Callithrix jacchus: one gene and its partner. The protein of the gene in region 1 interacts with the protein of each later gene in a biochemical or structural test. Links are inferred from orthologs where the notes say so. Each region holds a gene or a part of one and is shown on either strand. Other genes may lie near its edges. The genes, in order: ATR and ATRIP.

Region 1 (3,819 bases):
TCATATCTTTGGGTTCACAGACCTCAGACCATAATTTATGAATCTCTGTGTTAAGAATTTGTGCTTAGCGAATGATCATTGTGATAGCACTTGATGTTTCATGTCTGTATTTTCATTTAAAAGACATATGATTCAGGAAAAGTTAGAATTAATGACTTATTTTGTGCTTCTGTAGTAAACAGTTCATTTGAAGATCATATTCTGGAAGATTTGTGTGGAATGCTCTCACTTCCATGGATTTATTCCCATTCTGATGATGGCTGTTTAAAGTTGACCACATTTGCCACTAGTCTTCTAACATTAAGCCGGAGGATTTCAGACAGCTATTGTAAGTGTTCACAAGAATATGTTTGTGTGTGGTTTGTTTTATTTATTTATTCATTTCATTTTTGAGACCGGTCTTACTCTGTCACCCATGCTGGAGTGCAGTGGCATGATTTCGGCTTGCTGCAACCTCCGTCTCCTGGGTTCAAGCAATTTTCCTACCTCAGCCTCCTGAGTAGCTGGGATTACAGGTGCCCACCACCATGCTCAGCTATTTTTTGTATTACTACTAGAGATGGGGTTTCATCCTCTTGGCCAGACTGGTCTCCTGACCTCAAGTGATCTGCCCACCTCAGCCTTCCAAAGTGCTAAGATGACAGGCGTGAACCGCCATACTCAGCTGTTGCTCAGTGTGATTTGTTTTAACTCATCTCTGTATAGGACTTCTAACACTTATCACTTATATTTTTTCAATAAGAGAGCAGGTACATTTTTAATAAATCAGAAGGGAGTTAGATACATAAAAAGTACCACCTATAAAAGCCTGTCCCATATATCCCATTTCCTTTCTGTAAAACATTTGCAGTGTTTCTGTACATATTTTTATATTTATTAGTAAAATTAGGAAATATTTGAGAAATTTTTTTTTGTTTTAGAGACAGGGTTTCACCATGTTGGTCAGGCTGCTCTTGAACTCCCGACCTCAGGTGATCCACTTGCCTCAGCCTCCCAAAGTGCTGGGATGACAGGCGTGAGCCACCGTGCCTGGCGAGAAATATTTTAAAAAGAACAATACACCAAAAATTCTTATACTAGCTTCTCAGATTAAGAAATAAAAACATTACTCCAGGCACAGAGGCTCATGTCTGTAATCCCAGCACTTTGAAAGGCGAAGGCATACGTATCACTTGAGGTCAGGAGCTTGAGACCAGCCTGGCCAACATGACAAAACCTGTCTCTACTAAAAATACAAAAATTAGCCAGGTGTGGTGGTTCGTGCCTGTAGTCCCAGCTACTAGGGATGCTGAGATACAAGCATCTGTTGAAACCAGGAGGCAGAGGTTGCAGTGAGCCAACATTATATATTGCACTCCAGCCTGGGCGACAGAATGATTCACTCTCTCTAAAACAAAAGAAAAAAGAAATAAAACCATTACAGTGTTTTGAAGTGAGTTTCACTTCACCCTTCCCTCTCTTCATGAAATTTTTTTTTTAAAAAGAAATAAAAATATTAGAGATACAATGGAAGCCCGTTGTCCCTCTATGATTTAATCTTTATAAGACTTATCCCATGGTGATATGGGTAACTCTAGTATTTTATTTAAACTTCTGAATAGTAGCTAGATGTATGGCTAGACACTATCAGACCTCCTATTGGTGGACAATCAGGTTGTTTCCAACTTTTCTCAATTATAAGCAAAATGTAAATGAATACTTTTGTAAATTATTCTTTAGTCATTCTAAGGTCTTGCTGTTTGAAAAGTATGGTCCACAGACCAGTGGCATTGCCACCATTTAGGGACTTGTTAGAAATGGAGCATCCCTGTTTCTGCTTAGAGAGCACATTAAAAAAAAGAGAGAGAGAGAGAAAGAAAGAAATGGAGAATCTTATGCTCTACCCAGACCTACTGAATCAGAATCTACATTTTAACAAGATAGGTAATTCATATGCATATCAAAGTTTGAGAAGTACTATTTTAACATATCTGTCTACCTAGGAGTAGTATTGTTGGGTTATAGAGTTTATACATCTTCACCACTTTTCTGCTGTGTTGTTCTCCAAAGATAGGCCAGTTTACACTCCTATTAGCAGAGTATGAGAGTTCCACATCCTCACTGATACTTAGCAGACTTCAAAATTTTTGCTTTCTAGGGAAAAAAATGTCTTGGAGTTAATTGACTTTTATTTTATATATATACACAAATGTTACTTATATATGTATGTGTGTATATGTATATGTGTATATGTAAAATTAACATTAGTAGAAATCTTGTTTAATAGACTTAATTTTTTTCAGCACCACAGGCACAATCACGATGTGCGTTTCTTTTGACTCTGTTTCCAAGAAGAATATTCCTTGAATGGAGAACAGCAGTTTACAACTGGGCCCTGCAGAGCTCCCATGAAGTAATCCGGGCTAGTTGTGTTCGTGGATTTTTTATCTTATTGCAGCAGCAGAATTCTTGTAACAGAATTCCTAAGATTCTTATGTATGTACTAAGATTTTAATTTGAATATATTACTCAATTGGAAAGATCATAATTCTCTGGCTGTATATGCAAAGTTATGTTTATTGTTGAATATGTAAAGCAAATGTTGCTTTTAGTTTTAGAATTTAACATTTTTTCCTTCTAGACTTTGTTTTACCAGTACCTTAGTCCCAAATTAAGCAAGACTATTTATACCACAAAATTAGGCAAGGAGGTTTAGTCTTTTTCTTTTTTTTCCCCCAGAGATAAAGTCAAAGATGATTCTGACATTGTCAAGAAAGAATTTGCTTCTATACTTGGTCAGCTTGTCTGTACTCTTGATGGCATGTTTTATCTGACAAGTTCTTTAACAGAACCTTTCTCTGGACATGGACATGTGGACCTCTTCTGTAGGAACTTGAAAGCCACTTCTCAACATGAATGTTCATCTTCTCCACTAAAAGCTTCTGTTTGCAAGGCTTTCCTTTTTCTACTGAAAAAAAAAACACCTAGTCCAGTGAAACTTGGTGAGTGATTATGACTTATTTAATATTTTAAAACCCATTTAAGCTCTGTTTTTCAAATCAGTAAAAGAATTAGGCTGAAGCCTTGAAAAACTATAGGAAGTTACATGCTTGATAGATCACAGAACCCATAGGAGAGGTGATTTGGGGATTTTTTGAATACTCTTGTGATTTGACAACCTAAATGGGGCATACCTGATGGTTGTTTCAATATTGTAAGATTCAATATTCTATATCTTCTTTAGGGACACCAGAGACCTTCTTAATGTGTCCGCAGTTACCACCTTGGACCTTGAGAACTTCAAATAGTTAGATTACTTTGCCCAACTGAGAACTATAGAGTGTATCTTCTTGTCCACTTTCCAGTGGTAATGGAGTATAAGCTTTTAGGGAGCATGAGATTTCTAAAAATACCTAGAAGATAAATTTGTTTAGGCAGCAAGCTGAAACTCATTCTCAAGTTTTTGAAAAGATGGAAAGTACTCCCTAAATCTTGTAATATAAGGTTAACGATAAAGCTAAGATCTTCTTCAGAAATGTGCTTTTCTTTTTTTTTTCTTCCTGAGATGGAGTTTCATTCTTGTTGCCCGGGCTGGAGTACAATAGCGTGATCTCAGCTCACTGCAACTTTCGCCTCCTCAGTTCAGGCGATTCTCCTGCCTCAGCCTCCCGAGTAGCTAGGATCACTGGCATGCGCCACCACGCCCAACTAGTTTTTGGATTTTTAGTAGAGACAGGGTTTCACCATGTTGGTCAGGCTAGTCTCAAACTTCTGACCTCAGGTGATCCACCCACTCTGGCCTCCCAAAGTGCTGGGATTACAGGCATGAACTACCACATC
Region 2 (4,249 bases), on another chromosome or scaffold:
TAGGCTTCAGGCATTCCCTATGGGGCCTTGCCAGGTGGCACCCAGCCCTATGCTGCTAAAACAAACCTGAGCACCAGTGATTCACACTGTTGCTGAGAGCAAGTTACTTAGTGGAACCTATCCCTCTTTAACAAGTGAACAATCCTGTCTCTTTCCAAGACCAGAGTCCTGGAGCAACTGAGCATGCAACATTTGGGCAGCTGAGGGAGACTTACCAGTTACTCCAAAAAACTTTAAACTCCTTAGATGTTGTAGACCCTGATAGCAATCTCCCTTTCATTTAATCTTCCTTTTATATAATGCCTTCACAAACACTCCTAGGACACTCATGAGTAAAGTTTGGCATTGAGCAGGTCAGGTAAGGCTGAAAGAGTCTTGCTCCTGTTACTCTACACCGCCAATTCTCTATTGCAGCTAACTGTTCTGCACACCACTGCTGCCCAGTAAAATTTGTCAGTCACGCAAACCCAGCTCAAATTGCTGCTCCTTTGTGAAATTTTACCTCTGTCTTCGCCTCAGCTAACTCTTACCTGGCTTTTGTGTGGCCTCCCTCTCATGTGCCAGCCCTCTATCTTGCTAACTTCACTTAACCTATACGTCAGCCCAGGTGCCATTTACAGGGGGACTACTTTGACCTCTTGAGCCTCATTCCATACAACCAGAGCTTAGGAAAAAAACATTCCACCACTCAGAGGAATTAATGTTAACAGCCTGAGCAGCTCCCACCCCCTCCCACACAGGAACATTTCCAAACATCACTCCTCCTTGGACTTTTCCTCCCTGTACTTTCCTCCTCCCTGGGCCTACCTCAAATGTAGGCATGTGAAACATTCACTATTCCCGAAGGTGTCTGCACACGACAGCTCTATTCATACTCCTCACCCATCATATTCCACTCTCCGCCTCAAGAAAGCCTCGGGGTTTGTGGGAGGTGGGTCTGCCGGGAGAACGAAAGCGAGGTCTCAGAGACCACATTCCTGAATGCTGCCTGGCTCGACGGAAACGCAACATGCGTGACTGCTAGGGCAAGCTGCTCCTGCGCGGCCCTCCTCCACGAAGTGCCAGGGAGAGAACGCAAAGCCACCCGCGCGACGGAGCTGGTGCGCCTCGGATCCGCCCGCCTCTCCGATAACGCGTCGCGCCGCACCTAAGTCTTCGTCGCAAACCTGCAGAACCTCTGCCCCTGACCTCGGAGCAGCCACCTAGCCGCCCGGGCGTCCGCGGGGCGTGGCGGCGCACTCGGACGTTCGTCATTCTTCCGCGTCCCACCACCTGCCGGCTTATTGGCCTCTGAGCCGGGGGCGGGGCACTCGCGGCGGAGGCTAGCGGCGGCGCGCGGGCGGTTGGTCCAGTTTTCGGGGCTCGCTGCAGGCAAGTCAGGCTCGGCGCCGTCTGATACTTGGGGCTAGAGGTAGGCATGGCGGGGACCTCCGCTCCGGGCAGCAGGAGGCGAAGCGAGCCCCTGGCGCCTCGCCCTGGACCGCCGCCCCGCACCGAGCATCCCCCGAGCAAGCGGGCCCGGGGCTTCTCCGCGGCCACTGTCCCGGACCCTGACGACCCGTTCGGCGCGCACGGGGACTTCACTGCCGACGACCTGGAGGAGCTTGACACCCTCGCGTCACAGGCCCTGAGCCAATGTCCAGCCGCGGCTCGGGACGTGTCCAGTGAGTGCTCCTCGCGGCCTTTTTCCCGGAGGGAGTTGCAGACCGCTCCAAATCCCCCTGATGGCTGTGCCTTCGGAACCTCGGGGCCAGCACTTCCCTTTCGCCTTTTTAAAATATGGGAGCACCCTGATTTAAGCAACGGCTGTCTTCCAAAACGGCTGTCCTTTGATTTTAGGGGGAAATGCATCATCAAGGTCAAACAGCCGATTTGAAACAGAAGCTAGGTTAACATTTTATTTTCTAAAGTTTGGGCCACTTCATTCTTGATTCTAAGCAGAGATCCTGATCCTTGGAACACACCTACCACCACCATCATCATCACTACCCATGCATGGGGACCCATTCTTGTGACAAGTTTGAGAGGCTTTAGATCTTATGAAGCCCACTGTCTCCCTTCGGCAGTGTGAGCGTGGGAGGAGCGTGACACAGGCAAGAGATGAAATAAATTTATTCTTTTATACAACCAGTAAACTGTGCTAGGTGCCCAAATGTGAGGAACTGCAGCTGACCTAACAATGAACGAAATACAAAAACTCTGCCCTTCCTGGAGCTTTCATTCTGAGTGAAGCCTCAGGGACTCCCAGAAAGAGAAAGGTTTTGAGTGCACCTTGCATTTGTACTTGGCTGTCTCAAGGCATCTTAAACTCAACACAGTCATTTCCTGGAAACCCAGTCCTCCTTCAACATTTCTAGCATGGTGCCGGCAAAGCAGACATTCACACTATGATGACCAGATATTCCACAAGGAAGTAACTAGAACCACTCTCCAACCAGTGGCACAAGGCGACTCATCCCCTTTCCTTGACTCTACATCTAATTTCTTTGCAAAGCCTGTCAAGCTTACCTTCTTAATCCATCTCTGGAATCTATCCTGTTCACATCACTTCTGCCAACTGCCTGATGTATGCTACCATGAGTCCTCCCTTGAACAAACAGTCCACTAAATTGGTTTCCCATTTCCAATCTTGACTCCCTACAAGTGAGGCTTCACATCACATTCTGAGTGACCTTTTCAAAACTCAAATCTGGCTGTGTCTTACACAGATATACCTGAACACCCCTAATTTTATTTATTTATTTAGGTTTTTTTTTGAGATGGAGTCTCACTCTGTCACCCAGGCTAAAGTGCAGTGGTGCCATCTCACCTCACTACGACCTCCACCTCCCCGATACAAGCAATTCTCCTGCCTCAGCCTCCCGAGTAGTCTCAGCCTCCTGAGTAGCTGGGATTGCATGCGCCCACAATCGCACCCAGCTAATTTTTATATTTTTAGTAGAGATGGGGTTTTGCCATGTTGGCGAGGCTGGTCTCGAACTCCGGACCTCAGGTGATCTGCCCACCTTGGCGTCCCAAAGTGCTGGGATTACAGGCATGAGCCACCGTGCCTCACCATGAACACCCCTATTGAAAGCCCTTTAATGATTTCCCACTGCTTCTAGTATAAAGACCAAAATTTTTAACATGGCCTGCAAGGTCTAGCCTGGTTTGGCCCTTTCTCACTCTCTGGGTTCTGGCTACACTAACATTTCTTCATTCTTTTAATTCTTTCTGCTTCCTTACTTTATACATTGCTTTCTTTGTACATTGAGTATACTTTCTATTCATTCATCTCCAGTCATCTGGTTAATTCCTACTTGTCTTTCAGCTCCCAGCTCCTTCCAGTCTTCTTTAGGGAAATGTTCCAATCATCTCACTTAGGGCAGATTGCTGTCCTGTTACAGGCTTTCCTGTATTTGTTCTCTTCTACAGTTCTTATCACAGTTGTAATTTGACATCGATTTGTGTGATTATTTGTCGAATGTCCTTAAGCTCTGTGAGTGTAAGGACCATGTCAATTTTGCTCACCATTATACCTTTAGAGCCTAACATCATGCCTGGCATATTGTTTGTGGTCATTAATTATTGTTGATAATAAATAGATCACTTGAGTTCTGGCCAGTGAAATCTCCACAGCACCTTTCAGGCTTTAGGTGAGACTCTTGGAATTGGGTGAGGGATAGGGAAATAGTGATAGGATCTGTTATTTTAGAAGATCGTTTATGAGTTTTGGCTGGGCATGGTGGCTCAAGCCTGTAATCCCAGCACTTTGGGAGGCCAAGGCAGGCTGATCACTTTAGCCCAGGAGTTTGAGACCAGACTGGCCAATATGGTGAAATCCCATCTCTACTAAAAAATATTAAAATTAGCCAGTCATGATGGCAGACACCTGCAATCCCGGCTTCTCAGGAGGGTAAGGCATGAGAATCACTTGAAGCTGGAAGGCAGAGGTATCAGTGAGCCAAGATTGCGCCACTGCGCTCCATCCAGCCTGGGCAACAGAGCGAGACTCCGCCTGAGGGAAAAAAAAAAGAGAGAGAGGACCACCCTGGCCAACATGGTGAAATCCCATCTCTACTAAAAATACAAAAATTATCCAGTAATGGTGGTGGGCACCTATAGTCCCAGCTACTCAGGATGCTAAGGCGGGAGAATGTCTTGAACCCAGGAGGTAGAGGTTGCAGTAAGCCAAGATTATGCCACTGCACTCCAGCCTAGGAGACAGCAATTGTTTATGAGTTTGAACCATGTTCTTAAGCTGGAAAAT

The links.
Region 2: the proteins of ATR (region 1) and ATRIP form a complex in vitro, tested with the Homo sapiens proteins (4 studies listed by BioGRID and IntAct, with this or other methods). The link is inferred for Callithrix jacchus from reciprocal best matches to the Homo sapiens genes ATR and ATRIP.

Annotation. Positions count from the first base shown.
Region 1 is NC_133518.1:42,053,964-42,057,782, forward strand, and holds part of ATR (serine/threonine-protein kinase ATR), read left to right. Parts: intron 1-175; coding exon 176-328; intron 329-2,282; coding exon 2,283-2,475; intron 2,476-2,718; coding exon 2,719-2,981; intron 2,982-3,819. UniProt on the Homo sapiens protein: Serine/threonine protein kinase which activates checkpoint signaling upon genotoxic stresses such as ionizing radiation (IR), ultraviolet light (UV), or DNA replication stalling, thereby acting as a DNA damage sensor.
Region 2 is NC_133516.1:31,091,097-31,095,345, forward strand, and holds the start of ATRIP (ATR-interacting protein), read left to right. Parts: upstream 1-1,308; 5' UTR 1,309-1,417; coding exon 1,418-1,664; intron 1,665-4,249. UniProt on the Homo sapiens protein: Required for checkpoint signaling after DNA damage. Required for ATR expression, possibly by stabilizing the protein.